Linked DNA regions of Lonchura striata. The protein of the gene in region 2 interacts with the protein of the main gene of each other region in a pairwise test. Links are inferred from orthologs where the notes say so. Each region holds a gene or a part of one and is shown on either strand. Other genes may lie near its edges. The genes, in order: SATB1 and PIAS4.

The links.
Region 1: the proteins of PIAS4 (region 2) and SATB1 interact in a two-hybrid assay, tested with the Homo sapiens proteins (2 studies listed by BioGRID and IntAct). The link is inferred for Lonchura striata from reciprocal best matches to the Homo sapiens genes PIAS4 and SATB1.

The regions. Positions count from the first base shown.
Region 1 is NC_134603.1:120,684,997-120,700,749, reverse strand, and holds the start of SATB1 (DNA-binding protein SATB1), read right to left. Parts: upstream 7,956-15,753; 5' UTR 7,849-7,955; intron 1-7,848. UniProt on the Homo sapiens protein: Crucial silencing factor contributing to the initiation of X inactivation mediated by Xist RNA that occurs during embryogenesis and in lymphoma.
Region 2 is NC_134630.1:6,825,776-6,841,976, reverse strand, and holds the start of PIAS4 (E3 SUMO-protein ligase PIAS4), read left to right. Parts: upstream 1-9,970; 5' UTR 9,971-10,032; coding exon 10,033-10,059; intron 10,060-12,723; coding exon 12,724-13,150; intron 13,151-16,201. Other genes in the region: EEF2 (elongation factor 2), read right to left, coding at 255-437, 1,044-1,397, 1,481-1,588, 2,140-2,398, 2,540-2,735, 3,348-3,486, 3,631-3,744, 4,013-4,118 and 5 more.

The DNA.
Region 1 (15,753 bases), on a different chromosome or scaffold from region 2:
AATCAGTGACCATCAGGGCCTGGAAAAATGAGTTTGCTCTCACTGGCACTAAGGAGCATCACATGATTATTTAATTACAGCTCTAATTTTTGTCTCGTGGATGGCAACATATCAACAATTAATAGGGCAAATAGAGGAGACTGCATTTTTAAAGAGACAGAACCTATATGAAATAGTGCTTGGTAATGCAATTTATCAGACAGTATAATGCCTCTTACGGCATATCTGTCATCCTGCCAAACATATAAAAAAATTCTACTGGTTCAATTCTCCTGCATAGTATCCATAAAATTCTTCTGGAATGCTTAGAAAACAATAACTACACCTATGAGTATCCTAAATGTCATTTTAAGCAGCAGTGCAGAAGTCGGTTACTTGTAGGGCTCGCAGCCCAAATAAAGTAGTCGAATCACAAGTTTCAAATGCAAACACACTATAGCATTTTCTTGAAAAGACTATAGCAAAAGTCATCAGGAATGGCAAAGATGATTATAGTATACAGTGATTCAAGTGAAGAAAAACGAAACAGAAAGTCAATAAAATACAGTCAATGGGACAGAGATTGATTCTGACCGATTGACTTTATTCTGAGATTTTCTTACAAAGCATACTGAAACTAGGGCCTCAAAACCTATATCATATTGTTCCTGCACAGGACTGCTAGATAAGAAATGAAAAACAAGACCTAAAAGAAGATGTATGATGCATATTATCGAGTGAAAAGCTCTACTTTCAGTTTAAAACAGGTTTCCCTTGTGCCTCATCCTGCAATGATGGCAGTGCGGAACCTAGGAACTGTGGGAAGTTCACTACGTCGAGAAGCACTTTTCGCAGTTAGGGGAATCTGGAAATATATCAAAAGAAAAACTAATTTTATGCACCTTTTTGCAACTGTACTTACTTTTCCATAGCAATGAGTGGACCAAGCTACAAACTCCATAAATTTATATTATCTAGTGTATGTTTCAGACAATAGTCAATATCTAACATAGCAAAAGCAAGCTCCAAATTTCCTCTCAGCAATACACTGTACCAGTGAAAAACCTACCATACTATGCTTAGACGGTTTTTTAATCCTACTTCTCAATATAAAAATTAGACATGCTTTTTCATTTGATATTCTAAAATCTACCCTTTGAACAAACAAAGAAATGCTGGGTTTGGGCCCTTGCACAGAAAAAAAAACCCACTGCTAAACAGCAGTTCAAGTATTATTGCAAAAAGTGTGACTAGAGAAGTAGTACTATTACAATAAATGCTCCATTCCTCCCCAAAATTGTGTCAAATTGTTTTCATTGAAGTCATGAACATTCTGGATTAGAGATCTTAATCTATAATCTTAAAAAGAAAGCTGGCAAGCAAGAGCTTGTATGTAAAAGTAAATATCATTCTTTTTATGCACTGGTTACTATACAGATAACATGTCTCACAAAGACTGTAATTAAATGTCTAGTGCAGAAGTAACACTAAAAAGCATACAGTATTATTACATTACAATGAATCCTTAGAAGCTAAAATTGTCATTTTTAAGTTTTAAGATGCCTTTAATTATTCTTGAGACTTCTTATATTTATCAAGAAAGCCCACCTATGATGAAAAGCACTAATTACTTAAAATCTTTCTAATACTCCTCTCCACAAAAATATTAATTTAATGTTTGATTATAAACATTTTAAAACTCAGTCTGGAATTCCTCTCCACTTCAGTTTTTGCCTTTGGTCCTTCTGAGAGTCTGCATGCATGCATGCTCTCTCCCACTCTCTTTCACCTCCTCTCTTCTCTGTCTTTTATTTAATGTAATAGAAGTAGGAATATAGGGTGTGTATGATGTTTAGAACTTTCCTCCTTTTCATTGAAAATGTTTTTAATTACCTGGCTATTATGACAGACATATATTCTAAGTGCAGTTGCTGAAAAGGAAATACCTTTCTCATACCTTTGCATGTGGGTTTGAGTTCAGAGCAGCAATTCCTGGCACTTCTGTTGGAAATGTTTTCCACTCTAGGACTGATTTACAAATGTAAAGAATTACTTACTCCTTCACTGTTCTATGAAACACATATACTACTAATTTTATAGCTGGGTAAATAAACCAGGAGCATATTAAGGCCGCATTTATAAAAGGATAATGTGCTGTAGCTTCCTTTTCCTTCATATGAAGTTATGTGCTGAGCATTTTCAAAATCAGGGTTACAACATCAAAGATGGCAAATATGGCATGGACAGTTATTAACCAAAAATTACACATTTTTTTCAGGGCTGAAACCAGAACCAGGAGTAAAGACACCAGAAAAGATTATGAGACAGTCCTCCAAACACAGGTGGTCTGAATGCATCACCACTTCGTCTAGCGAGCAGCAAGTGTAAAGACCCACAAATGATTGCTGCTGGCCAAATAAATCCTGTCAGAGCAGGATCCCGGGAAGACAAGATGCACTTGAGGTTTAAAGCACCTCCCTCGTCTCCTCAGGTCACATCATGTCATAATGCGCCACGGGAAAGAGATAGAGCAGATAGTCCCTGGAAGTTATGTAAGGCCAGCGCAGCTGACAGACATGGCCCATCCTGATGTTTTGCACCCAGGTGCAGCTGGGGTGACAGAGGCCAATTCACAGGCCAGCAGGCTCCTCTCGCCTCTCTAACCTGCAGTTCACAGCAGCAAAGCACGAGGTAGTGAGAGATAACTTCTGTGAGCCTACAGCTGTGCAGAGGTGCCACCAGCAATGCTTTACCACAGCTCAGAGACAGCAGTTAGCCTGCGCTCCGGTGAAAGCAAGTCTTACAGTCCCCATCCCAGCAAACACAAATGCACAGTGTTTCACAGGGGAATCAATCTCCAGAGAGATTGCTGTGCATTGGTGTTCTAAATAAATAGCTGCAAGGTGGACCTTGGTGCAAATACTAAGTGTTAGTGTGTCCTTGAGCCCATCCGAATGCCTAACGCTGATCCTCTACAGGAACAGCAGAGGATCAAGCTGTGTAGTGACACACCAGTGTGCATGAGAACAAAGTCAGGCTCAGCAAGTTTAAAAGGAAATATTTAGAATTCAGACAGTGCCTGAGGTATGTTACTACACTCTACTACTGTACTCTACTATTACTATGCCATTCCTAGTACACTGCACCAGATAAAACAGATTAAGAGTAGGTTACAATTGATACAGGGCACAAGGACCAGTTCAGAACATATGTACAAGTTCAGAGCTGGCAAGTCTCCTTAAAATTAATCTCTGTCAAGACTTAAACCTACTGAGAGCAATCCTGTGCAGAAACCATGAGAAAGTTGGCTTTTGCAAAGCAATAGAATGGCTAGCTATTATGTAATGAGGTGCTGGTGATAACTGTGGTAAACTTAGATGCCACAGGATGGCAAATGTTCAAAACCACCAGCATTTTTGAAGGGAACATCATAATATATCCACTTGGAAGTAACAGTTACAAGTTGTGGTCAGGGCTGTTGACAGTTCATGATACCACAGACAATGGAACTGACCAACTAGCCAACTTAGTGTTAGGTATAATACTTTTGAGAATCTGAGGGAGGAATTAACCTCTCAGGTAAAAGTTATTAATGGAGTCCTTCAACAGAGAATTTAGAGAAGCTTTTTGCAAACTGTGGGTTATTCTGACTGCAGTTATCTTCAGTTCAAATGCCAGATATTTGGACTCACCGTTCCAAGATTAAAAGTAACATCAACAGGGCTTTCTGAGACTGACTTTATAAAGTTGCAAAATTTCCGTATAGCAGGCAGTAAGAACTGTAAGTTACTCTTTAACCGTCAAACTGTTTTACTTCTTTCTTTTTTCCTTTTTTTTTTTAGACTCAGTAGCAACTTTGTGACAACTAAAGTTTAAAAAATGCACTTGATTGCATAGTGACAGATTTGCAGAACATTTTTCATCACACACACATATGTGCTTTCAGTTATTAATAAAATGCTTCTGCCCTTAATCTGCCATTGCCTGAATATACAATTACAGTGTCTTGGATAGACAAATACTGTTAAGGAATTCTGTTTTCCCTGTTTGAGATGCAATTCAATTACATCAAGTAAAACTGAATACTATGTCTTTAAAACTGGCTTCGGCTTGCCACAGAAAGGAATACTGAATCACTTTTCTATTAAGTTCCTCTTAGAGTGGAATGATAACAAAACTTTCTTCTCTTCCTCACCCCCACCTTCCTTTTTTGCTTGTTTTAAACAAGGAAGAGCCAGCTGCCCTGGGTAACACCACAGGTAGATATTAAAATGGAGACAGCCATTATTTAGTGGCGACAGGAATATAAATACAGGCACTAACCTATAAACTGGTGTTTACTTCAGGAAAGTAAGTCATATTTTTTCCTCTGATTGCCGTGCTGTCAGTTTAATGCAGCGTAAATAAACAGTAGGTGCATGATAGCTTTAAGTAGAAAGTGTTCATTCCACAAGAGGAGCAGATTACTGAAGCCTGATGCCTATAACGGCAAAAACAGAACTTCCATTTTACCTGGCTAAGAGACTTGTGGCTTTTCTATTAAATTAATTTGTCAGAATTCTATGAAAAATATTATGCACTCAAAGAACTTTACAAAAAACATTCATTTTTGCAGCCCTCAACTTGAACCATTTGAAAAAACAAAAGCCAATCATTCCGCTGTAATTTCATCATCCCATTGCTCTAAATGAAAGCTTTATATAATCAACCTAATATAACAGAAAATAAAATGATATATGGAATTGCCTATACTTTGAGTTATTTTGTTCTTATAAATATATTCCCTGACTGAAAGTAAAAAAATTCCCCTTTGGAAAAAGCAATGATGTCTGAGAAGATTGTATATACACTCTACATCTATTAACATAAATTATAAGAAAGTAAAATGTTCCAGATGTGTTTAAACTGTTGTAGAAGGAAAGTTTGTGGCTTCACTGGATATATATTAAATATATCTAGAGAGAGCAATGGCAGTTATATACAAGAAAGCAATAAAATGCTTCACTAGAGTCTATGTTAAAATACCATAGTTCCTAGAAATATGACTAAAACATTTCAGAAGTCATATTTCCTCCAGTTTTAATTCAGAAATCTACTTTAATGTATTTTTCTATATATTATGAACTATTTTATTAATAAAGTAATCTTCTTAATTTTCTTTTTATTTCAAATACAGCTGGAAACCTACGGAATTACTTCAAATTCCTCTGACAATATTTAGACTAAAAAAATAGGTGACATTAAAAAGGTAACAGTACTTTGAAAAACCAAGTAGTTGATACGTTTAAAAGATTTGGTGAGTTTTTTGTTGGTCTTTTTTTTTTAACAAGATCACCAGACTTCATCTGATTATCTTCTAAATGGCAGTTTCACACATGTAAAACCCTCTCTATCCCAAACCTGTAATGTGTGAGAAACATTTTCTTTAGAGAAACCTCTCTAAAGAGGTTTTCGTGCTGCAGGGGTGGATGTGCCCACGTCCCCAGCAGGGCTGAACGTGGTGGCTGGTGCCTGTGGGATGCTGGCAGGGCTGCAGGCAGGGCTGATGCTGCCTTGGGAAGCACAGCCACAGAGGGCAGGTGCTCATCCTCTCACCCGCTGGGCCTACGCTGCAAACCAAAGAGGTGCCCTGCTCGTGTACAAGCTGGGGCTGGCATGGCAGGCTCTCTCTGCTCCTGATACTGCCAAAGCACCGTGTCCCATCAGTGAGTTACAGAGCGACTCTGCTTCACACTGCTTTCTCGGGAGCACAGCAGCAGGTTAGGATTCACACGAGTCGCTAAAATAGCATGAGAGGGGAAACTGCGAGAGTTACTTTGCTATTTAAAGTATCAAGAACAAAGAATATAAAAAGGAAATGGCCAGTTTTTCAAAATTCATGCACAAAAAGCATTTCATTTAAGTATCTTTTTGTTCCAGTAAACTATTTTGCATACAAAGGACTTATTTATTACATATTTGAACTTGTGGGAAAAAGGGAAGGAATGCACTGATTCCTGAAATAACTCTACAGCCTTTTTGGAGGCTTTGCTTTTCTGTGCTCTTGTTCTACTCTGAACAGTTTTATTGCAGGGACAGAGGAATTCCTTGGAGTCAGTTGTTTCTTTTCCACTAGCTGTACTGAAGAGTGGGCATACATAGCATACTAGCCAAGGATTTTAATTTCTCTTCTATTGCCTTATTATGTGTGTGCGCTATCTGTTCTGACGCATGCTTATATGTGAACACGTTGCATTTTCTGCCTGCTCATTTTTTTACCTACTCTACGTTATTTCACATTTCCTTGCAAAACCATTGCTTCAACTTGAAAAGCAAGGTAATATCCATAACGATCTCAAATAGAAAGTGAATTAGAAAATTAGTGTGTGTATATGTATAAACATATTAAAGAGCATATAGGAGTACGGGACTGGAAAGAGCATTCTCAAATTCTACAAATACTGCTGAAAAGTAATTAGAAGATAGAAATTACAGAGAACATGCTATATTCATGTCTATACACTCTACGCATACAGTTTCGAGTTGTTTTTGAATAGTGCGCCTGATTTGACACATTTCTATCTGGTGATTGTGTTAAATGCTTGATAGTGAAATATCCAAGCATTCCTTGTGCTAACTACAGCTGAAATTTTACACTTATTGTAACCTTTCCTAACAATGTGAGAAAAACAGAGTAAATATATTAAATTTGTTTCATAACAGATGCTTAGGTTGTTAATATTTAAGATGCCTATTCATGCTATTCCTGTCTGCACATTTGTCAAAAATGTAAGCTTGAATGCTAATGTTTGCCAGCAGACTACAGCAGACAAATATATGAATGCGCTGTACCAAAATAATATAAAGTAGAAATAAGGGGCTGCTACTAACTCCCACCCAAGCAGCACGGACCAGAATGAAAGGGCACCTCCAGATCACACGTCTCTGCATCTGAATTTGTGAATTATTTTCACAGAATCGCTGCGCTCACTTGCACGGACTAAAACCAGAGGAGAGCTTTTCTCAGTTTAAACTCATTTCAGCTTAGGAGCTGGTGCAAAGTGTTTCAGAAAACTTAGATTGTAGCGAAGTTTCTCCCGCAGTCAGAAAAAGCTGGAGACTGGCAGAGGGAAACTCCGGGTCGGGCAGGTGCCTGTCAGGAGCGCTCCCCCCGGCAGCCGGCGGAGACGGCGACAAAGGGGCGAGGATTTAGCAAAACCTCGGGTGGCGGGTTCGGAGACGGAGTAGAAAAATCAAAAGTAAATCCTGGAGCACACAGACGAGCTGCTGGCGCTGCTCCCCGCGACAGCGGCAGCCCCGGGTCGTGCCGCGGGCGGGCGGGGGGGACTTGCCACCCGCCGCCACGGGCGCGCCCCCGGCTGGGGCAGCCGCGGCCGCTCGGCCGCCCGCGCAACCCCCGCGCCCTGCGGAAGCGCCACCCCGCGACCCCCCCGCCCCCCGCCCGCGACCCCCGGCCCCGCCGCTTCGCCCCGCGCCGTCGGGGGCGCCGCCGCCCCGCGCCCGCCGCTGCCGGGAGGCGCGCGAAGCTGGGTAAGAACTTTGCCAAACTTCTGGGGGTTTTTCCCTCTGCCCCCACCCCCGCTTCCCCCCGCTCCCCCCCGTGCCAGCGGCGGGTGAGGCGGCAGCGGGCAAGGGAGCGGAGCGGAGCGGGGCCGCCGACCGGCAGCGGCGCGGCGGCAGGTGTGAGCCCGCGCCGGCCGGGAGGCTCCGGCAGCGGCAGCGCCCGGCGCGGCCACCCGCCCCGCGCCTCCCGCCCGCCCGCCCTCCCGGGCCGGCACAGCCGGGTAAATCGCCGCGGCGGCTGCCCCCGGCACGGCTCTGTCCCCCCCGTCCCCGAGGAGAGACGCCGAAGGAGCGGGACCAACTCACTCATGGGAGCGCGGCGGGCGAGGCCGGCGACACCTCCGGCTTCCGAGGCGCCGGCGAAGTTAATTGCACTGAAGTTCAAGTTGTCTTTTCACCCATCAGGAGTGGGCGTTTAAAGGAAGGAGAGCGAGGAGGAGGAGGGGGAGGGGGGAGAGTCTCTCTCGCTCGCTCGCTCTCGCATACACACGCGCGCACACACACACACACACACACATACACAGAGGCACACGCATGCACGCACGCACACACACACACGCACACGCACCCGCCCGCTCGGCTCCGCTCCCGAGCTGCCTCAGCAAGGAGGAGCCCGGACGGAAAACACCAGGGCAGCAAGGTACCGGCGTGGGGCAGCCCTGCCTCTGCCTGCGCGTGTCTGTGCGGGTGTGCCTGCGCGTGTGTGTGTATATGTGTGTGAGCTGTGTGTGTGTGTGTGCCCGCGGTCCCCCCGCCTGCTGCCTCGTACGGCCCCTCCAGGCGGGGAGGTGCGCGCTGCCCCCGGGGAGGGGGCGGCGGTGCCGTCGGGGCAGCGCGGCCGCTGGGGGCCGGTCCGACTGGGGCCGGGGTCTCCGAGCCCTGCGCCGCCCGCTCTGTTCCGCGCCCGCTGCCTCCTGCCTGCGCGGCGGCGGTGGGAGGGGGGGAGAACCGAGCGGCGGCTGGAGCGCAGCGGTGGCGTGTGTCTGTGTGTGTGCGCGGCGGCTCCTTCCCTCCGGCGGCTCCCGGCCCCGGGGGGCGGTGGGGCTGACTTGGTGCAAGTGCCGGGGGATGGTGGTGTGCGTTTACTCGTGCCTGCCGCGTCCCCCTTCTCCCCGGAACTCGGGTCGAAACCCTCCACCGTCCCCGCATTGCCTTCCCCGGCACCGCGCCCCCGCCCCCTTCTTCCCCCTTCTCCATCCTTCCCCCGCTCCTTTATTTCCACAGCTGTCCCCGCGCCCTCTGGCCGCCCCCCGCCGCTACTCGCAGAGCCCCGGCGGCAGCCTCTTTCGGGCAGGCAGCGCTCCGCGGCTACCCGCGATTTGAGGTGGCTGATGGAGAAGCTCCGCTAGCGCGCTGGCGGTCTCCGCGGGCTGGGGATGCCCGGGTGCGGGCAGGCATCCCCCGGAGGCCTCTGCCTGCCGGCAGTCCCGCTGCCCCGTCGGGCCGGGAGCGGGGCCGAGTCCCGCATCACTGTGCTACGCCTGCCTGGTGTTTCACCTGGCACCACGTGCTCTGTAACGCTGTTAGAGAATTGCCTTTATTCATGAAACTTCTCCTAGGGGAAGTACTTTTCTCTCCTTTTTTTGTTTTTAAGACCTTCTTTCCCCTCTTCACTGATGTAGGATTGGAAGTGGAGCTACTGGAGAATGACCACTGAACGCATGTTTCCCTGAAAGCTGAGGCTGTTTCTTATTCCCAAGGAGACTGACAAGAGAGGGGACCCGGATGTCAGCCCAATCTCCGTTTTTTATTTGTCTCAACTTTGAGGCAGATTTTTGTCTTTCAGCTGTGGGAACTGACAGGTACAATTCCCATAGGCACCTTTCCATCAAACAAGACCAAGGCCAAGAAGTTGATTCGTCATTGCTTTTCCTAGTTAGCCAGCAGTATGTCATTCTATTAATTGCTATTAGTAAGTTAACCTTGTAGCTCAGTTATTGAATAATCATTAATCCATGGAGGATACACAAGCCCAAAGGTTAATAATAGGAATAGCAATTAATAATATTGACCTTGCCAGTGGGGAGAGTATTTTTGTCACAGTTATTAAAAGTCACTACTATTTATACTAGGTGCAATGGTGCGAATTTGGACTCAATATGTTGAATACCAAATTACTGCAACAACACCAGAAATTAATTCACCCTTTTATCTCCATGTTAACAGTCCTCTGACTTTTTCTCTATTTAAAACATATCATCCCCTACTTTCTCATTTTAAATAAAAATCCTAGGTCTTTAATAAATTCTAACATTTCCACTAGAAAATAACATCGAGCTCACTTACACAGATAAAAATTTATTTGCCTGCAGCTGATTTGTTGTAGTGCTTTGGATGTCTTCATTTCTCAGAGAGGACTTAGCTTTTTATTATCTTTTGATACCATGGGGTAATAAACAGGAGATCAGTACAAAGGGGACATTCTCTCTTTTATAGGTCCAACTCTCCACTCCCTGGAGTTGCCTCCTTGCAGAGCTACTCTGACTGACTGACTGACTAACCTACATCCTTCTACTGTCAAAGACCCATCTCCTTTATTTGTATCACATTTCTGACTGGCTGGTCAGTAAGCCCTAATAATAATCATGTTTCATGTCTCAGAAATCTAATAATCAAGTTACTCATTGCTACAAATTGCAGCTAAGCTATTTGGGTTAGTCACGTTATCCCCACTTTAAAGGCAGGGAAACTGAAACAGGAAAATTAACGCATTTGCCTGAGGCTACACATGGATTTAAGACCAGATCCAGAACTGTAACTGAATTTAGACCAAGATCCCTTTTAAAGATCCTCAAGTGCACTATTGAAAATCCTTCTTTAAAATAGAAATGTAGCATAAACCTTATTTTTCATCAACTTTGTATATTAGTCAAAACACACACACTTTTTTTTAGGTCACATTTTGTTTTTAACAGGTAAGGTTTATTCAGCTTTTTTTAAAAAAAGTGTGGTAATACTTTTCAGCTACATCAGGCAGTTTACTTTGGAAACAAATATTTAATACCAGACTGTTTGCAGTAATGGGAATAGAATTGCTTGTCATTGGGCTACTGTAAACAATATTAGCTAAATGTTATGGTATTGTTACAAAACAACAAACTATGATGGGAAGTCCAGCATTAGTATAGATAAGGTGCTCTTGCTTACCTAGTGTGCACTGGTTTTCAGCATAATGCTCCTTCAGTGCTTTCAGTATCAAAATACCTAATATGAGTCTAAACACCGAAATACATATGGGACAACCATATACTGTGTTTGAGAGTTACAATTTATGTCATTAAGCAGTGAGTTTTACCAAGTTGTGTCATTCATGTCACTGAAGCAACACATATACTGCCTGCTCTTTAGCTGTGGCATGTCATCAAAGCATGCCTAAAAGCCAGATGTACAATATAACTTTCCTATTACTGACATGTAGATATTTCCTCTTCCTCAATTCCCGCCCTAAATGTTTCCTTGCCCAGCCTTCTACATGCTCAGAAAGGAGCTATAGATGCTATAATGCTTAGAAAGGAACTATAGAAAGTCCTGTTCATCCTGCTCATCTCTGATGTCTGGAATTGTGCAGCTGAAAGCCTATACAGAATAAGTATACATTCTTTTTAAATTATTTTTTTATTTATGCTGACAGCTCCTTTCTGAGCATTTTTAGAGTCCTGATTTGAGGGAAGTGGGTGCAGATCTCATTCAAATAGTCATTCTCCAATACCATTAGCATTACCTGCCAAAAATGAAAGTGGCATATGAATCACAATAAGCCACTCATGAATTTGTGGATTTAGAACCTGCCAAGGAACAGCAGATACACACACGATTTCAAAGACCCATCAGTTTTAGGTACTTCCAGCAGTGCATATTTATCCAAAGACCATCCTATTGATGGCACATCTTATAAGGCCTACAGACATAACTGATTCCAGGGAAGGATAATACTGACTGAAAATATTTCTGTTCCAGTCTTTCTTTTACAAGTGAGGTAGTGAAAGTGACGAATCTGCTAATCATAACCATGTCAGAGGCCCTTCCTGAGGTGTCCCTTTTATTGAAGTGCCACTGTGACATAATGATCTGTTGGTTTTCTGTGAGAAGAGCTTTAAAATCCTCTGGGAAATATCACAGTTGCTTTCCAGTTCCTTTCAGACATGTAAATACCTTTATGTTTAGACATGAGTACAGAGGGGTGGAAAGTGAAGTTCAGCAAGGACTAGAGTGGGGTTAAAAGAATCCACATGGATCCAGTGACCAAATACATATATATGTGAGCTTTTTTCTGTATCTGATATTACCTGGGGCTTGAAATGAAATGTTCATTTCCAAGAAGGAAACGCTGTAGGAACGTGTGCCTACTTGAAAGGTATGTTGACCCATCGTTGACAGAGAAGGCCATCTTCTGCCTAAATTATACATGAGCAACAGAACTCTCAGTAGTGCTCAGATACTTGTGTCGTTCTCAAGTAATATGTACATTATCAAGTATGGTTTATTTCCAGCTTGTAGTGTGTGGATAATGCTATATCAGTGAAAACCACCACATGCCACCTATCATTCGTTGTAATTGCTTGCTTTCATCATGGTTTGCTTAAGCTGAGCACATCAGAAACTGAAAATAACATTTGGGTATTTTTTCCTTCTTAACATAGAAAAGTTCCAGCCTACATTTTGAAAACTATTTATATGTTATTATTTGTGAAACATAGCAAAGAAACCTGCGTATTGGCATGGAGTACACATGGATGTCTCAGCAGCTTGATGAAATGTTAAGACTTGGTTTGAACTATGTTCCAACCAGTTCTAAATGTTATCTGTTGTAGATGAAAATGGTAATCAACAGATACAACCATGCTGAAGTAGCCTTCTGTGAATATCTTAAATGCAAGTGGCCATTACTGTCTGTGCCACAACCTTTTTGATGTTTCATTTTGCTAGTGGTTCAGTGGAAGATAGTCAGATGTCTTTTTCTGAATATATCTTTAGTGCGTTTCTGCAGTCGGTTGGTTATTCTGTTCTTTGTTGGTCAGACACCAATCTCTTGAGCTCAGGCCTATGTGACCTTGCTACTTGAATGTCTATTCTGAAAACTTCTTTACTGAAGTTGTCATCATGTCAATAGTAGCATATTCATTTTTCTGTCTTCAAACTAGTTTAAGTTCTCTCCAATCATACAGTGAAGGTCCATGTTTCCAGGCCCTTATGCTACACAGTACCTCAGTCCATTTGGCCACTCTCCAAGATGGTAACTGCTTTCTGCTCCACATCTCTGTTACAGGAGGTTTTTGGATTACCTAAAAAACTAAAGTGCATCCTCATAAAACTTAGCTTTTTGGAAAAGTAGATCAAGTTTTTGCAGATGCATCAGTGATGTCAGACTCACTTCTGTTTTGCCTGGCTGCTGTCTCCTTCCATCTGAAAGTCTAAAAGTATAACTTTTAAAGGTTTGAAGGAGATATATCAATATTTGTGTGAACCACTTTTACTGCACGTTGTCTCTTCTTTTCTACTTCCACTTGTCTTGGCTGCTTTTAAAAATTCTGTTGCCTGTATTGAGACACTGCCAGCTTAAACCAGTGAAGAGAAACCAGGTGACTGTCTACTTTTATGAATATAGGTTGTGTATAATAAATTCTGTTTTTACATCTATGCAAATTAAATCATATGATTCTGACTACATGCATTTTTTATCAAATATGGCATATATTTCACAAATTATATTTAACTTGTAGTCATGTTGCAATTTTGAATACCTAACTAGGAATTACAAGGTGTGCCACTAGATCTTAGTAAATAAGTGTACAAAACCAGAATAAATAGGATAAATTTAGCTTTTTTTTTCTTGTATTCTTGTTAAACCTAGTGAAAAAGCTTTTTCTGCTATAGGTGATAATATAAGCACCTCATTACTGTGCTGTTTAGAGACAAAAGTACACTTGGTTTCTAGAAATGTAAAGATTCTGTAAGGGCCTAAACAGAATGTGCCCAGAATAAGGAAGTTTCAGAGAAACAAGTCTTTGGTCTGGAGTTTACAGTATCTAGTTAATGAGGCCTTTTATTAATGTTTCTTGTCACAGAGTAGCAGACATCAGTCACAATGTCAAAATAAACATTTTATTTCTGCAAAGTTACATTTTCACCTCAGGAATATTGTGAAGTGAAAACGGGATTTAGCATAATTCTTCCTGTGGACAGACAGGGCAGTTTAAGTGTGAAAACCTAAGCCTTGCAATATGATTCCCAACCATAGGTGCACCAGACTTTGAATAATCAGTCTGTCAGATAAGCTGTGGCAGGCATTATTCTGTGAAGGTAACCACTCAATGCTTTCAATGTTGATGATCTTCAGTAACTGCTGATGTTTTTTTCCTAAATAAAAAGATATTTTGGGAGCACAAAGACGTCTCTGTCAATACTTGTGTTTTGGTCAATAAAAGGATGTGGATGGTTGAAATGTGGGAATCGGGTAGAATTCAAACATGTGAACAAACAGCTGTAATTCACAAAACCTTTTCTAAGAAGTTGCCTAAACCTCAAAGCACTAGATTTGCCTTAGAGTTAGTTGCTTTTCCACTTGGGACTCCTAAGTGGCCATTCAGGACTGTTCATGCCCACCCAGGTCCTCTAGACCTGCAGTATTCTTCTGCTTGAGTGTCTTGGTCAGCTTGGCCTCCTGGTTACTCGTGGAGTGTGCTCAAACTCCCTAACATGACTGCATTCTTGACAAAATGCAGAAGGGTCACTGTGGTAATAATGGGAACTTAATCCCAGGACTATTTTTATTTTTACTCTTATTTTTGTTTTCGTTTTTAATTTTTTTAGGGGGATATTGTATGTATTTCACAACAATTTAACATAGTGAAGACAAAAATAATCCCGAGAAAACTCAGTGTGTGCCCCAGCCCTGGGAATAAACTAAACATAAGATTATGATCTAAGGAATCTTGAATTCGTTTGTGCTCAAGGGCACTGTTTCAGCAAAAGGGTCGAGACTGCCTCTTCTAAAATAACCATCAGCCTGGTGGCCAGAGTCCTCCCTGGGGTGAGAGGAGTTGTAAATTGGGGCCTTTCAGGGCAGCAGAGATGAATCCCATGATTGCATTAGTGCTCTAATCACAGAGTTGTTATATAGAGGGAGATGGGAAGCCAGCTTCTCCTCCAGCTATGTTTTAATAAAACATAAGTTTTGAAGGAAAGATCACAGGGACCTATTTTCATAAAAAGAATGAGGGTGTAGATACTGAGTGGATGGAGGCATCTCTCAGACAGCCCTGGGTAGAGCCCTGTCTTTAGAGGTAACCCTCAGGTAGAGCCTTTGCTTTAGAAGGAGGCAGGATTGTAGATTTGGGACAAACCATTTTTCCCCTGGTTAACTCCAGTTGTCTTATGTTGAGGTCAAGACATGCTGTGCTGGCTGTTTTCCAGGCCACCCAGGTGTCTCTTCTGCTGCGCTGCAGGAAAGTAATGCTTTCAAAACATGATTCTGGATACCTGACAAGGAACCATGGGACAAAAAAATTCAGAGTTGGAGCACCATAATGCTTTATAGGATTAGCCACAAACTATATAAATCAGTATCTAATTATTAATAACAGTTTATTTCATAATAACAGCAATACTTGGTATCTGCTGGGAACTGTTATCTTGGTAAAGTTTATGGTCCATTTTTATTTTGCATCACAAAGGACAGCACAGGAAACTGTTGGATTGCATATTACTTATAATGAAAATTCTCTCTGTAAGTGTTTCCCATTAGAAGCTCTAATGGCTAACATGGCTAGACACTCATATTTATTTTAAGTCCTGTGGGATGCAAGGTTAAAATTATATTTTTATAGAATTTATCTAAATTAAAATAGAAATACATACTAAAATGTTGGCCTTTTCTAGGAAAAGTGCAATAATATTCAAAGATGCTTATTTCTTCTTTTAAAATACTTTTATTTTGCCTATTTGAAAGCTTCCAAAATCAGAGGACAAAAATTCCTCCAAAGACTTGACAGCAGTCCACTGCATGGATTTCATCTGCCACAGCATAACTGACTGCTTTTGCCATATAGGATGTATGGGCACAGTTCAGACAGTCTGCCCCATCTGTGTTGCCTTCCCCAAACCTGCTTGATATAACTGAAGAGTAGGTTACAAAGCTGTCCTGGAACCCTTCCACTTGTGATCTACATCCTACAATATGGAATATTCTAAATATCTTGGGCTTTCCCTAGC
Region 2 (16,201 bases):
GTTGGCAGAGAGCCAGGGAAGCCCACCCTGCCCAAAGTCTGTATAGACCCCTGACATTTCCTTTTTGTGCTCTTTTGCCCCGCTCTCCACATGGACATCACAGAATAAAGAGAGCTGAACCAACATATTTTGGGGTAAGAGCCTCTTTTGGAAATCTTTGCCATCTCCTGATATTCCTCCCCTCACAGCCTGCTTACCTCCGAGCTAGCCTAGGATATTTTGGGGGCTGTGTGAGGGTGGGGAAGGTCACTCACCTGGATCTCCACCAGGTAGATGGGCTCCATGAGGCGCGGCTGGGCGGTGAGCACGCAGGCGTAGAGGCAGCGCCGGGCCGTGGGGATGATCTGGCCGCCGCCGCGGTGGATGGCGTCGGCGTGCAGGGTCACGTCGTGCACGTCGAAACGCACGGCGCGCATGTTCTCCTCGCACAGCACCCCCTGCCAGGGCACAGCGGGGTCACTCCGTGGCCCCTGATGGGGTGCTGCTCGCCTGGCTCCCAGGAGGAGCTCTGTGGAAGCAGCTCCCACCCAGGAGCCACTCGACCTCCTTGCTGAAGGATGAGCCTCCAAACCTACAAAGGCTGGACTCTAGGTCTTTCCCAACCTAAGGGTTCTGTGGAGCACCAGCTCGCAACCCCTGTGCCACCACTGCGGCAGCCTCGTGATCAGCTCTGAGGTTCAAGCCTCAACAGCTGTCACACGTTTATGGTGCTGAAACCCAAGTATTTGGCCAAGGGAAATGGGGATTTTTTTGTCTTGGTAATGTCACAGAAGTTGTTGGCTTGGAATCACCTTCAGACTGAAACTAGGTGGTACACAGGAAAATGAATTCCTCCTCTTGCTGTTCCCAGTCTGTCATCTTACCCTACAGTCCTCTCCTGTCTAATCCTGAAAATAATCCCTGTCGAGGCCCTCAGACCACTTTCCCTCCTGCCGTTATTCCCTGAACTGCTAAGATGTTCCATTTTGCTCCACGATAAGCATAACAAAAGCACAGATGTGAGGAACCACGGATGCCACCCAGCCCAAGCCGCCGTCCCTCACCTCCTTGGTGGCCCACTGGAAGCCGGCCACCACGCTGTCCTTGATCTCGTTGAGGTACTGCACCCCCTTGGTGATGTCGGTGAGGATGTTGGGGCCGGTGCCGTCGGGCCCGAAGCACCAGATCTTCCTGGCCTCGGTGACGTCCCACTCGTACTTCTCGGCCAGGTACCGCGCCCGCTGCTTCAGCTCCTGCCGGGCCGACACCTCGCCCTTGTCGATGTCCTCGGCCAGGCCCTCGGGGAAGGGCCGGGCCTTCATGTACAGCCGGTTGTGTTTGTTGGGGGACTTGGAAAGGCACATCACGCTGGACTCCTCGCTGACCGTCTCGCGGTAGGACACCACGGGGTCGGATTTCTGCGGGGACAGAGCGCGGCGTGAGGCACCAAAGCGGCCAAACCCCCACCACGAGCTCAGCCAGCACGCAGCCTCCTCTCTACCTTAATGGGGATGCAGGCGTGGTCCTCCTCCAGGTCCTTCAGGCAGATCTCCAGGTGCAGCTCCCCAGCGCCAGCGATGATGTGCTCCCCAGACTCCTCAATGATGCACTGGGAACACCAGGAACAGCAGGTGAAGCTTCAGAACGAGCCACATGCACAAGCAACTTTCTGTGTTTTTAGTGCTTGACCCAAAGAGCTACTTCTACATGTTCCCCCCACTCATCCCCTCTGTGTTTTTTGTTTGAAAAAAAAAAAAAAAACCACTTAAGTGACCCAAAACACTTTTGCTGCCCAAATGCCCGAGGAGGAGCCACGGTGTGGGGCGGGCATGGCCAAGGTAGCGCTGGAGGATCCCAAGGCAGCTACTTCTACATGTTCTCCCCACTCATCCCCTCTGTGTTTTTTGTGTTTGAAAAAAAAAAAACAACATTTAAGTGACCCAAAATGCTTTTGCTGCCCAAATGCCCGAGGAGCCATGGTGTGGGGCGAGCACAGCTGAGGCAGCACTGGAGGATCCTGAGGCAGCTACTTCTGGATGTTCTCCCCACTCATCTGGGGGTGTCGCAGCACCAAGCCAGGGTGCAAGGCAGGGACCAACACTCAACTCAAGGCTTCCCCAGGATGGAAGCAGCACCCCTGGATCCATTCTGGCCACTCACCTGCACCATGGGGTCAGACTTGGCCAGGCGCTTCAGCCCCTCCACCAGCTTGGGCAGGTCGGCCGGGTTCTTGGCCTCCACGGCCACGCGCACCACGGGGCTGACGCTGAACTTCATGACCCTCATGTTGTGGGCGTGCTCGAAGGTGGTGATGGTTCCAGTCTTCACAAGGAACTGGTCCACGCCGACCAGCCCCACGATGTTCCCGCAAGGCACGTCCTCGATGGGCTCCACGTAGCGGCCCATCATGAGAATGGTCCTAAAGGGAAAGGTGGATTAGTGAGGCTGGGAAGGGGAGGAGACCCCACTCAGCCCACAGCCAAGAACCTTGACAAGCCTCAGACATGAGAAGAGACCTGAGACAGCATCAGAATCCCTCGACAGCCCAGCCAGGACACACCTTTGAATTGGCTTCAGGTACAGATCCTCCTTCTTGCCAGGTGTGTAGTTTGGTCCCATGATTCTGACTTTCAAGCCAGTAGAGACGAGACCAGAGAAGACACGGCCAAAAGCGTAGAAACGTCCCTTGTCAGAGGTTGGCACCATTTTGGAGATGTACATCATCAGGGGGCCTTTGGGGTCACAGTTCTTAATGCCTGGGAGGGGGACAGACCAGCTTAGCACAGAGGTATCGATGTATCTGGCACCCACCCCAAAACCCCAACTCAAGACCTGCACCCACTGTCCCAGCCCAAGGGCTTCTGTCTGGGCTAGAGAAAACGGAGAATGGCTCCCACTGCCAGAGGGCAGGGATGGATGGGATATTGGGAAGGGATTGTTCCCTGGGAGAACACACAGGGTGCCCAGAGCAGCTGTGGCAGCTCCTGGATCCCTGGCAGGGCCCAAGGCCAGGTTGGATGGGGCTTGGAGAAGCCTGGGGCAGTGGAAGATGTCCCTGCCTGGTCAGGAGATGGGGCTGACCTTCAAGATCTCTTCCAAACCAATCTATTCTGAGATTCCATGGAAGATCTTATCACCAACAAATGTTTTTAACAGAGGTTCAGATGGACCCTCTGGCTACTCTGAGATTACTCAGCCAGCTGAGTGCTCCAGAACAGAGCTGTGAGCCACTAAAACTGTTTGATCCATGCTGGAAAAGCTACAGACTCAATTCCAGACACTCCTGAGCTGTGCACGTGGAGAACAAACTGGTTACAGGCATGCTGGAGCCGAGGCCGGGCAGCAGAGCAGCTCATCCTTCATCCTACCTATGGCAGCCTCATCGTCAGGGGGGCCCTCGTAGAGCAGCTCGCAGCGATACTTCTGGGCTGTGACGGGGGAAGGCAGGTGGATGGTGATCATCTGCAGCAGGGCATCTCCAGCTGGCAGCCACCGCCTCATCACAGCCTGGGCAGAGCAGCAGGACCCAGTCAGAGTGTTCACAACAGGGGTTCACCTCCCCGTCCTTCCCCACCTCCCAAGCAAGTTGATGTTGACACAGCTGGAGCAGCACTGCTCAGCTGCTCCCCAGAGGACTCAGACCAGCCTCACCTTCAGCAGGGGTTTGCCCTCCTTGTCCTTGTCCTCACTGTCCAGCTTGATGTCCAGTTTCTCAATCAGTTTAGCCGCCTCTTCTTTCTTGAAGTTCATGATTGCATCGAAAACCTGCGACAAGAGCAGCCCTTGGAGCGCCGCCGTGACCCCGTCTGGAGCAACTGCACCACCGCCCCTGCAGAGAATTCCTGCTCCTCCTCAGCACCCAGCTCCCCCAGGAGACACAGCCCCTGTGCCCCAGAGCAGCCAGGTGTGTCAGACAGCTGAATTTCTTCAATCAAACACGTCAGGTCAAAGTGAAGAAATTTTCCATCATCACGCACGGAACAGAAGCGCAGAGCAGGAGGCGCCGGCCAAGGAGGAACCCTGAGGAACTCACCTTGAAGATGGGGTCAAGGATGAGCTGACAGAAGGTCCTGGGCAGTTTCTTTCCATCAGGGCTGGTGGCAGATTTGCTGAACTTGCCAGTAGCAGGGTCAAAGTATCTACAGAGAGAAGGAAATTGGACAAACATCCTTGCTCAGGTCAGCTACAGACACACAGCGTGTTCTGCCTGCTCAGGGCAGAGCCAAGGGCTGCTGAGGAAGAGCCATTTCCTGCTTTCCCCCTCATCCAGCTTTCCAGCACTTACCAAATGTAATTACCTCCTGGTAAATTAGGCACAACCACGCCCTCCCCATCCTCCTTACCCACCCTCTGCCGCGCCAGGCTGCAGCTATGAGGAGCTGATCTGGAATTCCAATCACCACCATTCCCTCCTCACCTGTCTCCCCACAGCTTCTTCATCATGTCCTCAACTTTCTTGGCACGCTCGGCCGGGCTGAGCTGGGCATCTCCCTTGGCAGCAAACTTTGCCACGTACATCTCAGCAAACTGCTTCAGGGTGAAGGCCCAGCCGTGCAGGCCCGAGCCAAAGCCCACGGTCCCGAGCACCGGGTCAATCTGAGAGGGAACAGCAGAGCTGGGTCAGGGGAGCAGCGCTCAACCCACCCCAAAAACAGCCCAGTACAAAGTGGACCTTCAGGACACTGAGATTCTGAAGGAATTCTGTCCCAGTGACCACCTCCGAGGTCTGGGACAGGCACCATTTTAGCTTTGCACCACAGAAGTGGGTTGATTTTCCTCCACTCCCACCAGGTGGGTGCTCAGGTTTACGTGCAGGTAGGATTCCCATCCTTCCCAGGAGCATCAGGAAGGCATGGACACTTCCAGCTTCTCCTCAGAACCCGACACCCACAGCCCTGCTCCCTTCCCAGAAACCCAGCAGCAGAGCAGGTGGGAAGGTAACATTAAAGACCATCCCATTCCACCCTGCCATGGGCAGGGACACCTTTCGTGATCCCAGGCTGCTCCAAGCCCCGTCCAGCCTGGCCTTGGACACTTCCAGGCAGCCACAGCTGCTCTGGGCAACAATCCCAGCCTTTATTTGCTCAAGCCTTGAACTGGAAATTTGGGAGGGGAGCCAGCAAGAGCCCCAAGCCATCCCAGGCTCTGGGAGTTCAGGCACCCTCAAGATCCCCCTGTCCTCCACCTGGGACAGGGAATTCTCACTCAGGAGGGATCTGCTCCCTCTCGAAGCGCCTCAATCCAACCCCAGTGCTCAGAGCCTCCCCTCACCATGATGTTGCCCATGGGGCCGCTCTCTCCCTCTCCGTAGGTGGAGATGATGACGTTGACGTTCTCCACGATGCGCTGGAAGGTCTGGTACAGCTCCTCTGGGTCCAGCTGCAGCTCCAGCAGCGCCCGGTCCATCTTGTTCATCATCAGCACAGGCTTGATCCTCTCGGCGATGGCCTGACGCAGCACAGTCTCTGTCTGCACACACACACCTGCCAAACACACCAGAGTTAGCAGTGAGTTATCCCCACCTCCAAGTTCTCCAAAACGCTCTCCAGCTGCAGAAAACCTCACCAGAGACACAGTCTACGACGACCAGGGCACCGTCAGTGACTCGCAGAGCTGCAGTGACCTCTGAGGAGAAGTCCACGTGCCCAGGGGAGTCAATGAGGTTGATCAAGAAACCGGAACCATCCTTGCTCTGCTTGATGAAGGCCAAGTCGTTCTCAGAGAGCTCATAAAACAGAGAAATGGCTCTGAAAGAAAGCAGAAACTATTAAAATGATGATTGTGCTCAGGATCGTTTTCTCCCTAAAGCTCAGAGATGTTCTGCCCCACAAAACATCCCTGCCCCAGCACTGGAGGTGGCACCCAGTGCTCTGCTCCCGGTTGGAGTTGATGTCCTTGGAGATCTTTTCCAAGCTAGATGCTGGGCTCCAGGATTTCCTGGAGCGTATTCCAGGGAGGTCAGTGTGTGAGATAACAGAAGCACAGGCTACAACCTGTCCTTCCTAAACCATAACATCCTCCAGAATCCCAACCTCCTCCAGCTCCCTACAGTTCTCCAGCACGCATAAAGGGCTCCATTCCCAGATTGTGGATTTAGGCTTTTCCTACTAATCCCAACCGTGTTCTCCACCCCTTTTCTGGCCCCTCAGAGTCCTCACACGCCCTGTGGCAGCACAGCCACCAGGTGCATCCCCAGAGACGCTCCCAAGAGTCTCCACACCGCATCCATGGACATCCAACAATCCTGGTGCTGAACTGGGAGGGTGAAGCTCCTGCTTCCCCAATGCCCAGCAAACAATTGCTCCATGATTGAGCAGAAGCCAGTCAACACTTGCTCCACCATTCAAGACCCTCAGGAACATGACATGAGCTTCTGGACTAGACCAAAGTCCAACAGCACCTCCTGGAGGAGTCCAATCCCCCCTGAGTTCAGCCCAGGCAGCAGCAGGAGTCCGAGGGGAGGGCACTCACGTGGATTTGATGGTGATGCACCGTTCCTGCTCGTCCTTGCGGGTGTCGGTGAACCGGGTCTCCCCGGCCCGCGCTGAGGCGATGATCCCAGCCTTGCACACCAGGGAATCCGTCAGCGTGGACTTGCCGTGGTCCACGTGGGCGATCACCGACATGTTCCTGATGTTGGCCTTTTTATCCATGATGGCCCGTATCTGGTCTACTGTGAAGTTCACCTTGAAGTAGGGGAGGAGGGGGACTCAGCGCGTACAAAAACAGCTTTGGCAGTTCCAAGGAAGCCGACTCTGCCCTAAACACCCGCCACGACCGCGGTGACACCACCTCTGCCCGGGTGACAACACAACCCGCAGCCAGGGCAGCGCAGCGGGGCTGCGGCACCGACCCCTCCCTGCCCCGGTGGCCCTCCAGCCGCGGTGCCAGCGGGCGCAGGGCGCCCCCAGAAGCGAGCCCGGCCCGGCCCGGTGCCGGCCCGGCCCGGTGCCAGCCCGGCCCGGTGCCGGTGCCAGCCCGGCCCGCAGCGTTACATAAGGCACGGCCGGCACCGCAGCGCCCCGAGCCCGGCGCTGCCACATCAGCGCTCCCGAGCCCCGCGGCACAACGGCGGCCCCGGCACCGGCCCCGGCGGTCCCGCCGGTGTCACGGCCGCCCGGACCGGCCCCCTCCCGCCGCCCCACCCTCTCCCCGCAGCCGCGGCCCAGGCCGGCAGCACAGGCCGCAGCCGCCGCCGTGTGACCGGCGGCGCTCGCGGAACTGCCATCCCCGGCGATACGGGGAGCGCGATGGTCGCTAATCCCGCCGGCAGCGGCGGCGGGCGGCGGGGGCTCACCATGGTGGCGGATGGCGGCGGATGCTGCGGGGCGGGGGGGTCACGGCAATGGCGGCGGCTCGGCCCTGTCTCGCTGGCGAGCGCAGAGCGGGCGGAAGAGAGCGCTGACGTCAGCCGGCGCCCTCTTATAGGGCGGCGCCGCCGAGGGGCGGGGCCGGCGCCGAGCGCGTGCGCGGCCGCGCCGCTCTATCCCGCGCGCTCTATGGCCGGGAGGATGTCCCGCCTCGCCGGCACCACGTGGGGGTCACCGGGGCTGCACCGGGACTGCAGCGAGGCGACACCGGGGGAACAGCGACCGGCAGCGGCAGCCCCGCCCCGCCCGGGCTGCAACGGGGGGGGACAGTCCGCCCCTCCCGCTGCCGGTGTAGGAACCGGCTCGGAGCAGTGAGGCCGCCCTCGGAGCGGTATCACCGAGCGGCAGGCGAGCACGGGGGCTCAGCCGCTAGGAGAAGGCGGTAGGGCCGAGCCCGGTGGCAGGCAGCGGTCCGGGATCCCGGTGGGTCCGGGACACCTGTGGGTCCGCCTCGCCCCGCTCCCGCAGGGGGCTCGCAGTGCGCATGCTCCGGGCGGGCCGGTGCCGCAGCGCCCCCTGCGGGCAGGGAGGAGCGCGGCCGCACCGGGATCCGCACCGGGAGCGGCACCGGGATCCGCACCGGGAGCGGCCCCGGGATCCGCACCGGGAGCGGCCCCGGGATCCGCACCGGGAACGGCTCCGGATCCGCACGGGGAGCGGCCCCGGATCCGCACCGGGAGCGGCACCGGGATCCGCACCGGGAGCGGCCCCGGGATCCGCACCGGGAGCGGCACCGGGATCCGCACCGGGAGCGGCCCCGGATCCGCACCGGGAGTGGCACCGGGAGCGGCCCCGCGATCCGCACCGGGAGCGGACAAGGATCCGCACCGGGAGCGGACAAGGATCCGCACCGGGAGCGGCACCGGGAGCGGCACCGGGATCCGCACCGGGAGCGGCACCGGGATCCGCACCGGGAGTGGCACCGGGAGCGGCCCCGGGATCCGCACCGGGAGCGGCCCCGGATCCGCACCGGGAGTGGCACCGGGAGCGGCCCCGCGATCCGCACCGGGAGCGGACAAGGATCCGCACCGGGAGCGGACAAGGATCCGCACCGGGAGTGGCACCGGGATCCGCACCGGGAGCGGCCCCGGCCGGAGCCGCCCGCCGGGTCCGGTGGCACGGGGCCGCAGAGCTCGGGCTCCAGCCGTCCCTGTGCGCCCGCATCGCCTCAGAGCCGACAGAAACGTTGGAATGAACGGCTCGGGTCGGAAGGGACGCGGAGGAACATCCAGCGCCATGGCAGGGACACCTCCCACCATCCCGGGCTGCTCCAGCCTGGCCCTGGGCACTGCCAGCCACGGCTGCTCTGGGAATTCCATCCCAGCCCCTGCCCACCCTCCCAGGCAGGAATTCCATCCCAAAATCCCATCCATCCCTGCCCTCTGGCAGCGGAAGCCGTTCCTTGTATTCCTGTCCTTCCACCCCTTGTCCAAAGTCTCTCTTCCCATATTCCTTGTGGGGTCCCTTCAGGTCCTGAAGGCTGCAATGAGCTCGCCCAAAAACTTCTCTTCTCCAGGCTGGACAATCCCACTTCTCTCACTGGCAGCTCCCAAATTCCCAGCACATTCCCAGGCAGGATGGCCACGGGGCTGCACCCGGGATGGATTGACAGGATGAATTATCGGCCTCTGGGGTTTCCATAGCAATCTGGGGGATTTTTAGCACCAACCCTGATTTTTGCCAGCCTAGAAGGGAAAAGTTGGAAACCTGATGAGCATCCTGCTCTTCCTGAGAAATTGTTAATTGCCTTTTTGATTAATTAGTATGTGGGGTTGATGGCAAGGAGAGGAAAGTGCTGGAAAACCTTTCCCAGCGCAGCGTTTCACCTCAAACACTGAGGTTACCCTGAAATCATCCAGTCCAACTCCTGGCCCTGCACAGACACCCCAACACCCTGTCCCAGAGTGTTTTCCAAAGGCTCCTGGAGCTCCGGCAGGGTTGGGAATGTGCCCGTTCCCTGGGGAGCCTGGGCAGTGCCCACCACCCTCAGAGGCAGAACCTTTCCCTGAGCTCCATCCCAAATCCCCGGCACAGCTCCAGCTGTTCCCTGGCTCGTGTCCCTGCTCCCAGAGCAGAGATGGGAGCTGCCTATCGGGGAAAAGCTGCAAACCACAATGTATTTATTATTATCATTATCATTATTACTATTATTATTGTTATATGGAAGGTATTTTTAATAAGCAATGGGTTCTGTCGCAGAAGGGGCCACAAACACTGACCAGAGAAGGAACCGGGACCCATCCCCATCCCTTCCCCTCTACATCCCCCCAGCACTTCCCTCCTCACCGGGGCCGCCGGCGGAGCCTCGGGCCGAGCCCACCGGGCGCTGCCCTGCCCCGGGGCACCCACCTGGTGCCATCCTGGGGGCAGCACCCACCGCCTGCCCACCCCTTCCCCGTCCCGCAGTGCCCGCGGCACCGCCTCCATCCCCGGTCCCGCCGCCGTTCCCCCCCACCCCCGCCACCCCGCGGTGCTGCCCCGGTTTGCGGTGCGCGGCCCCTTTAAGACTCTCGCGGGGGAGGCGTGGCCTGGCGGGGCGTGGCTCGCGAGGGGGGCGTGGCCGGGGGGGCGCGCGCGGCGATTGGGCGGCGCTCGCGGCCCCGCCCCCTCCCTCCGCCCCGCCCGGCGCGAGGCCGTCACGTGACCCGGCGGCGGCCGGCGCGGCGGACGCTGCAGGCCCAAGATGGCGGCGGAGCTGGTGGAGGCGAAGGTGAGGGAAGCGGCGCCGCCGCCCCGCCCGCGGGGCCCGGCCGCCACCGGGCGGCTCCCGGCGCGGGCACACGGCGTGGGGGCGGTGCTGCGAACCGCGGGGGCGGCGCTCCGGGGCCTCCCCTTCGCCTTTTTTACCTCAGACACTGCCCCGCCCCGGCCTCAGGGCCGCAGCCCCCGCCGGACCTCCCGGCGCCGAACCGGGCCGAAGCGGGCCGCGGCGCTGCCCGCGCTCCTCGGGGCTGCCCCCGCCGTGGCTTTCCCCCCGAATTCCCGCGGGGAAGGCTCGCTGGTGCCGGTGGCGCTCCGGGGGTGGAGCGGCTCGGTGCGGAGCTGTCCGCTGGGACGGGCACTGCCGGGGGCAGCGGCGGCCCCGCGCCCCTCCGGGATGGGGGAAGCGCGGGTGCGCTCGCAGCTGTGCGGTTCGTGCCCTGCAGAGCAGCGGGAGCTTCTCCCGCTGCCCTCGGGATGGCGGCACCGCGGGACCGGGAGAGCGGCCGGTGCCCAGTGCGGTTGGGGAGCCCCGGCCGCGTTCCCGGGCGGTGTTCCCGAGGAAGCGCTCCCCGCCCGCAGGAGCAGCCCCTCGGCAGGGATGGGGCTGGCTGGCCGCAGCAATCCCACCGGGAGCGGCTTTTTTTTGGGGGGGCTCTGCAATTGCAGAGCGGGGAAGGCGCTCCCGGCATCGCGGTGGCCGCAGAGGGTTCTGCGGGCTCTGAGCCGTCCCGCACCGGCGTTCCCGCGAGCAGCAGCGGCCGGGAGCGTCGGGAATCCCGGCGATCCATGTGCTCTCCCTGCTGCCGCGGGGCAGCTCTCGGAGCTCTCTGGGTTTGCTTTGTCTGGGGTTTGTTGTTGTGTCGCTGCTCAAATCTCATCGCACTGCCGGGCCTTCATCCCTTCAAAATGGAAACTCTGCGCTCCGGCTCCGCTTTCCAGGCCAAGACTCCTGGTGAGGTGCTCCAGGAGGAATTCCTGTGCTCCTGGGATGCCCTGGTACCTCCTGCTGCTGTGTCTTGATGAATTTATCTTTCCAAATGCACCTTTTAGCCTCAAATCCCTCAGGGACAAGAAGACTCTCTCCATTTCCTAGCACACTTTAATGATCCTGGTGGGATTTCATCAGCCTTGATGATCTTGGAGGTCTTTTCCAACCTTAATGATCCTGATTCTTTTTTTTTTTTAGTTGAAGAAAACTGAGGCACAAAGTAGATTTCTCCAGGATTTCACAGGTGGTGTCTGGTGGAGCAGCACCATGAATCCAGGGCTCTGAAATTCTCACTTTCTGGCAATTAAACATCTTTTCTCTCCTCTTTAGTCATCAGTCTTTTTTTCCCTTCATCTGGGATATTTTGGGACTCATCACGACTCCCAGAAGTTCTAGCTACAGACAGTGACATAACAGCTTTTGGGTTTTCTGATTAAATGACATATGTAAGGGAAAAGGAGAAAATCAAATGGCATTTTCTCTCTCATTTAATTCCCACACATCCAAAAGTGGCTGTGAAATGTTTCTGGAAACAGTTGTAGCTTTCTTAATTAAAAAAAAAAAAAATCTGTAGCTGGTTTATTCCAGGAAATGATAAGATTGTTAGATTATCTTTTATGCTTTTTTTATTAATTATTAATTCAAGAGTGGGGTAGAGGCTGGGGAACATCTGCTGGATTTTTTTGGTGGAGTTTCTTCTTGAATTCCCATATTCCCCACAAACCAGGAAGGCTGCGGAGTGAATATCTACCAGGTTAATTTGCAGAGCAACTTGAATTTTCTCAGCTGTGTACTTTATAAGCTGTTGTTTTGCAATTCCAAGGCTGTTTGGTGTTTAGGGAGCTGAAATGCCAGCCTGGAGCTGTGGGTTTAATGGGGAGAATTCCTGGTTTCTGATGGGAAGTTGCCTTGTGGCCTTTGACTCTGCTGACAGTTACAGGCCAGACTTGCCCCAGAGAGGGAATTTTGGAAGGCTGAGCTGGGTTTTGCTGCTTATCAGGCACTGAAACTGATAACTGCACCAAGGCAGCTCCTGGCTGGGATCGCAGGGAAGTGCTTGGCATTGCTCTCCTGGGAACACTCTGCTCCCTTCAATAATCGGAATGTCCTTGCATGCTCTAAAATATGTGGGTTTTTACAGATCCTCTGCATGTAGGGAGGATTCTGGAGGGGTTTTCCCATCCAGAAATCCAGAATCGGTGGCCCCAGTTCACCTCAGCCTCGCCTAACTCATTTTGCTTTCCTTCCTGTGCCTTGCACTGACACCATTTGGGATGAAGCTTTCCGTGTTTCTCTGGGAATTCGGGATGCCTCAGGCTGCTGAAGGAGCTCATGAGCTCTTTCACAAGTGAGGCCTCTTGCTTTAGAGCTTTGAGGTCGCTCCTGCTTCCAGCTGGGCTGTCTCGAGGATGTTTAGCATCTGTCCGAGTGATTTTTGAGTCATTTGATGACTGTGCTGGTGGTTTTGTCCTTCAGGTGATATTTCAGTGGGTGATCTCTGCGTTTGCATTGCTCAAACAAGAACTGAGAGCCAAAATTCGGTTGACAGCAGCGGGTTTGGACAGGTTTGGGGTCTTTCTTTGAGGGGAAAATTTTGAATATCTTGCCTTGTAGCTATAAAGTGACAACTAAACCTTTGCCTTTTATAACTATGAGAACATCTTTTAATTTTTTATCCCCCAGAACATGGTGATGAGTTTCCGAGTCTCAGATCTTCAGATGTTGCTGGGTTTTGTTGGCAGGAGTAAAAGCGGACTAAAACACGAGCTAGTGACCCGAGCTTTGCAGCTGGTCCAGTTCGACTGCAGCCCCGAGGTGTTCAAGAAGATCAAGGAGCTCTACGAGACTCGCTACAACAAGAAGGGCTCGGAGGTGGCGCCGCCGCCGGCGCCGCACCGCGCCGAGGCGCTGGCCCTGCACTCGTCCTACGAGCGCGGCGGCGCCGTGCCCCGGCCCCTGCCCGCCGCCAGCATCGACTACCCTGCCCTCTATGGCAAATACCTGAACGGACTGGGCAGGTTGCCCCCCAAAGTGGCCAAGCCTGAGGTTCGCTTGGTCAAGTTGCCCTTTTACACCACGCTGGACGAGCTGCTGAAGCCCACAGAGTTAGGTGAGGTTCGGGGTGGGGTGGGGTGGGGCGGGGGGTGTTTGTGTTGGGAAATAAGTTGTGGTTGTAAAGGGGATTTCTAAAGTTGTGGGGTGGGAGAGGCTGATGGATAGGGTGGTGAGACCCACCCCCCCCTTCCCCCTCTCCCTCTCTTTTTCTTTTCCTCCCTCTCTCTTTCTTCTACCCGCTGTCTCCTTCACCTCTCTCTCCCTTTCCTCCCTCCCTCTCTCCCTTTCCTCCCTCCCTCTCTCCCTTTCCTCCCTCTCTCTCTCCCTTTCCTCCCTCTCTCTCTCCCTTTCCTCCCTCTCTCTCTCCCTTTCCTCCCTCTCTCTCCCTTTCCTCCCTCTCTCTCCCTTTCCTCCCTCTCTCTCTTTCCTCCCTCTCTCTCCCTTTCCTCTCTCTCCCTCTCCCTTTCCTCCCTCTCCCTTTCCTCCCTCTCCTCCCTCTCCCTCTCCCTTTCCTCCCTCTCTCTTTCCTCCCTCCCTCTCTCTTTCCTCCCTCTCTCTCTCTTTCCTCCCTCTCTCTCTCTTTCCTCCCTCTCTCTCCCTTTCCTCTCTCTCCCTTTCCTCTCTCTCCCTCTCCCTTTCCTCCCTCTCCCTTTCCTCCCTCTCCTCCCTCTCCCTCTCCCTTTCCTCCCTCTCCCTTTCCTCCCTCTCTTTTTCCCCCACCATCTCCTTCAGCTCTCTCTCTCTCCCCTTCTTCTCTTTCTATCTTTCCCCTCTCTCTCTCTTCCCCCCACTCTTCCCCCCCCTTCCCCCTTCTCTCTTTCCCCCTCTCTTTTTTTCCCATCTCCCTCTCTCTCTCTTTTCCCTCCCTCTCTCTCTTTACCCTCTCTCCCTCTCTCTCTTCCCCACCCCTCTCTCTCCCGCCATGCTCAGAATTTACAGAGGAATATTTCTCTCTGGGCTTGCCAGTGCTTAAAAGTGGCTGACAAAAGAGGGAGAGCAGCTTTTTACAGAAAAGGAGAGTGCTGGGAAAGAGGGAATGGCTTCAAACTAAAAGAGGAGAGATGTAGATGGGATATTGGAGCAGTTCTTCCCTGTGAGGGTGAGGAGGCCCTGGCACAGGGAGGGAGAAGCTGTGCCTGTCCTGGAAGTGCCCAAGGCCAGGTTGGAGCACCCTGGGACAGTGGAAGTTGTGGGATGGAATGGGATGATCCTTCAGGTCCTTCCCACTCCAAATCCTGTGCTCCTGTGGTTTTCCTCAGACCTGGAACGTGGTGGTCACTTTGGGATGTAACTTGGAAGCCCACCTTGTTTGGTTCCTGTGGATTATGGGGCCATATTCTACACTACTGCTGGTTTTCAGCACTAAAAATCCCTGACCTGAAGCATTCTATGGATAAAAGAGGATGTATTTTTGACCCTCAAACTATATTTTTGACATTTTTTTGGTGCTTATCACAGTTATTTGTGTGTAGTGCTGTGTGTTTTGATGGGTAACTAGTAAAACTGGAAGAAGAGCTTTTTCCCTGGGTGTGGAGACTGATTTTTCTTTGTTTTCGTTTTGAGAAACAAGGAATGTTGTTCACTGATGTTAAATAGAATGTTCTGGTAGCAAATTCTGTGTGTCCAGAGAAGTTGAGTTCTGCTGAGCGTCTCATAAATTCATGTGGCAATGTCAGAATTCTCTGCCAAATGATTCTACAACTTGAGCTGGTTTGCCTTTGCTGAAAAGATATTTGTTGTGGCTTGGAGTGGAAAAATAGATAAAGATTTGATTGTGCAGAAGCAAAAAGATAAAGGTCTAATTAGTCACATTCTATATAGTTTCTTCTTCATTTGAAGGCATAACTGCTGTGACAAAACAGCTGAGCGGTGCCAGAGTCAAGCTCAAACGTTACAACAGTGTGAGGAATGGTTTGTTCAGTGTTAAACGTGTGTTAGTCAGCAATTCCAATATGGGAATTTTGGAGGAAAACAAATTTCCAAGAGGTGGAAGCATCCAGAGACAGCAGGGGCTGGATACGCTCGCTGGGATTACCAGATTTTGTTCCAAGGTGCCATTAAATGTCCCCTGCATCAGCTCAGAGCCAGGGCAGCCTCTGCCCTGGGAGGTGACACCTCCCCGGGGCCAGCCAGGGCTTCTGGCTGATTTCCCTGCTGCTGGCAGAGTTTTCTGTGGAGCCAGGAGGAGCTGGCCACCAGCAGATGTTCAGGTCTCACACCCGACCAGGCTGCACCTCCCAGATTTTGGGTTTCTATTCCAGCAGCAATTTAATTTTTGTCTAAAGGAAGAGTGAGCTGATAGAAATGCAAAATAAACCACGAGCAGCGTCTCACTTTTCCTAATCAGGTTTGCTGTGTCTTTTGTGTGGCTGAACAATCAGCAGGACTCAGTTTATTGGCAGTTTCTTAATCAGAAACGTTAAAGTTACTTTTTGTTATTGTTCTTCTCAATCTTCACTTACTAAAAATACCTCATGAAATGTTTTATTTTCTGCTGGTTGTTTTAGTCAGGAGATATTTGGGAGGAAACTAGAACTAAACAAAAAGTTCCATAGAGATATCTTAATTCTTACTTCTAAATTTTATTTTTGTAAGTTCCATTTGCATTTTTAAAGCAAAAAAGGGACCAAAGGGGAAGCACCTGGTGTGACTCAAGTTGTCACCAGGTCTTTCAAGAGCTGCTGAGGTTTTATCCTTCCTTCATCTCCTCTTTTTCATAGGAAAGTGCACTTTCCTCCTTCTGAAATCCTGTTGGCTTTGAATAACCATGCAGTGGAAGTCAGGCAAAGCAAAACACCCAATTCTTGCTATTGTAAATAATTTTTAAAAAGCTGTTTTAGCACTTCCTCTCTGTGTTCCTCCCGTGACTTTTAGCAGCTCGGGGTCTGAACTTTGCTTAGAGACACAAAACTGAAAATAAAACGTGTTTGGTTGAAGTACAGGTCGCAACAAAAGTTTCCCACGTCTCAAGCTTCATTTTTCCCCACATTAAATGCACTTGATCTTAAAATTATCAGTGTGCAAAAGGCCCCAGTTAATGCTTGGCTGTCTTAAGCCTCTCTGAGGGTGAGCTGCTGTCCCACCCTCAAGGTCAGGGGGTTTGAAG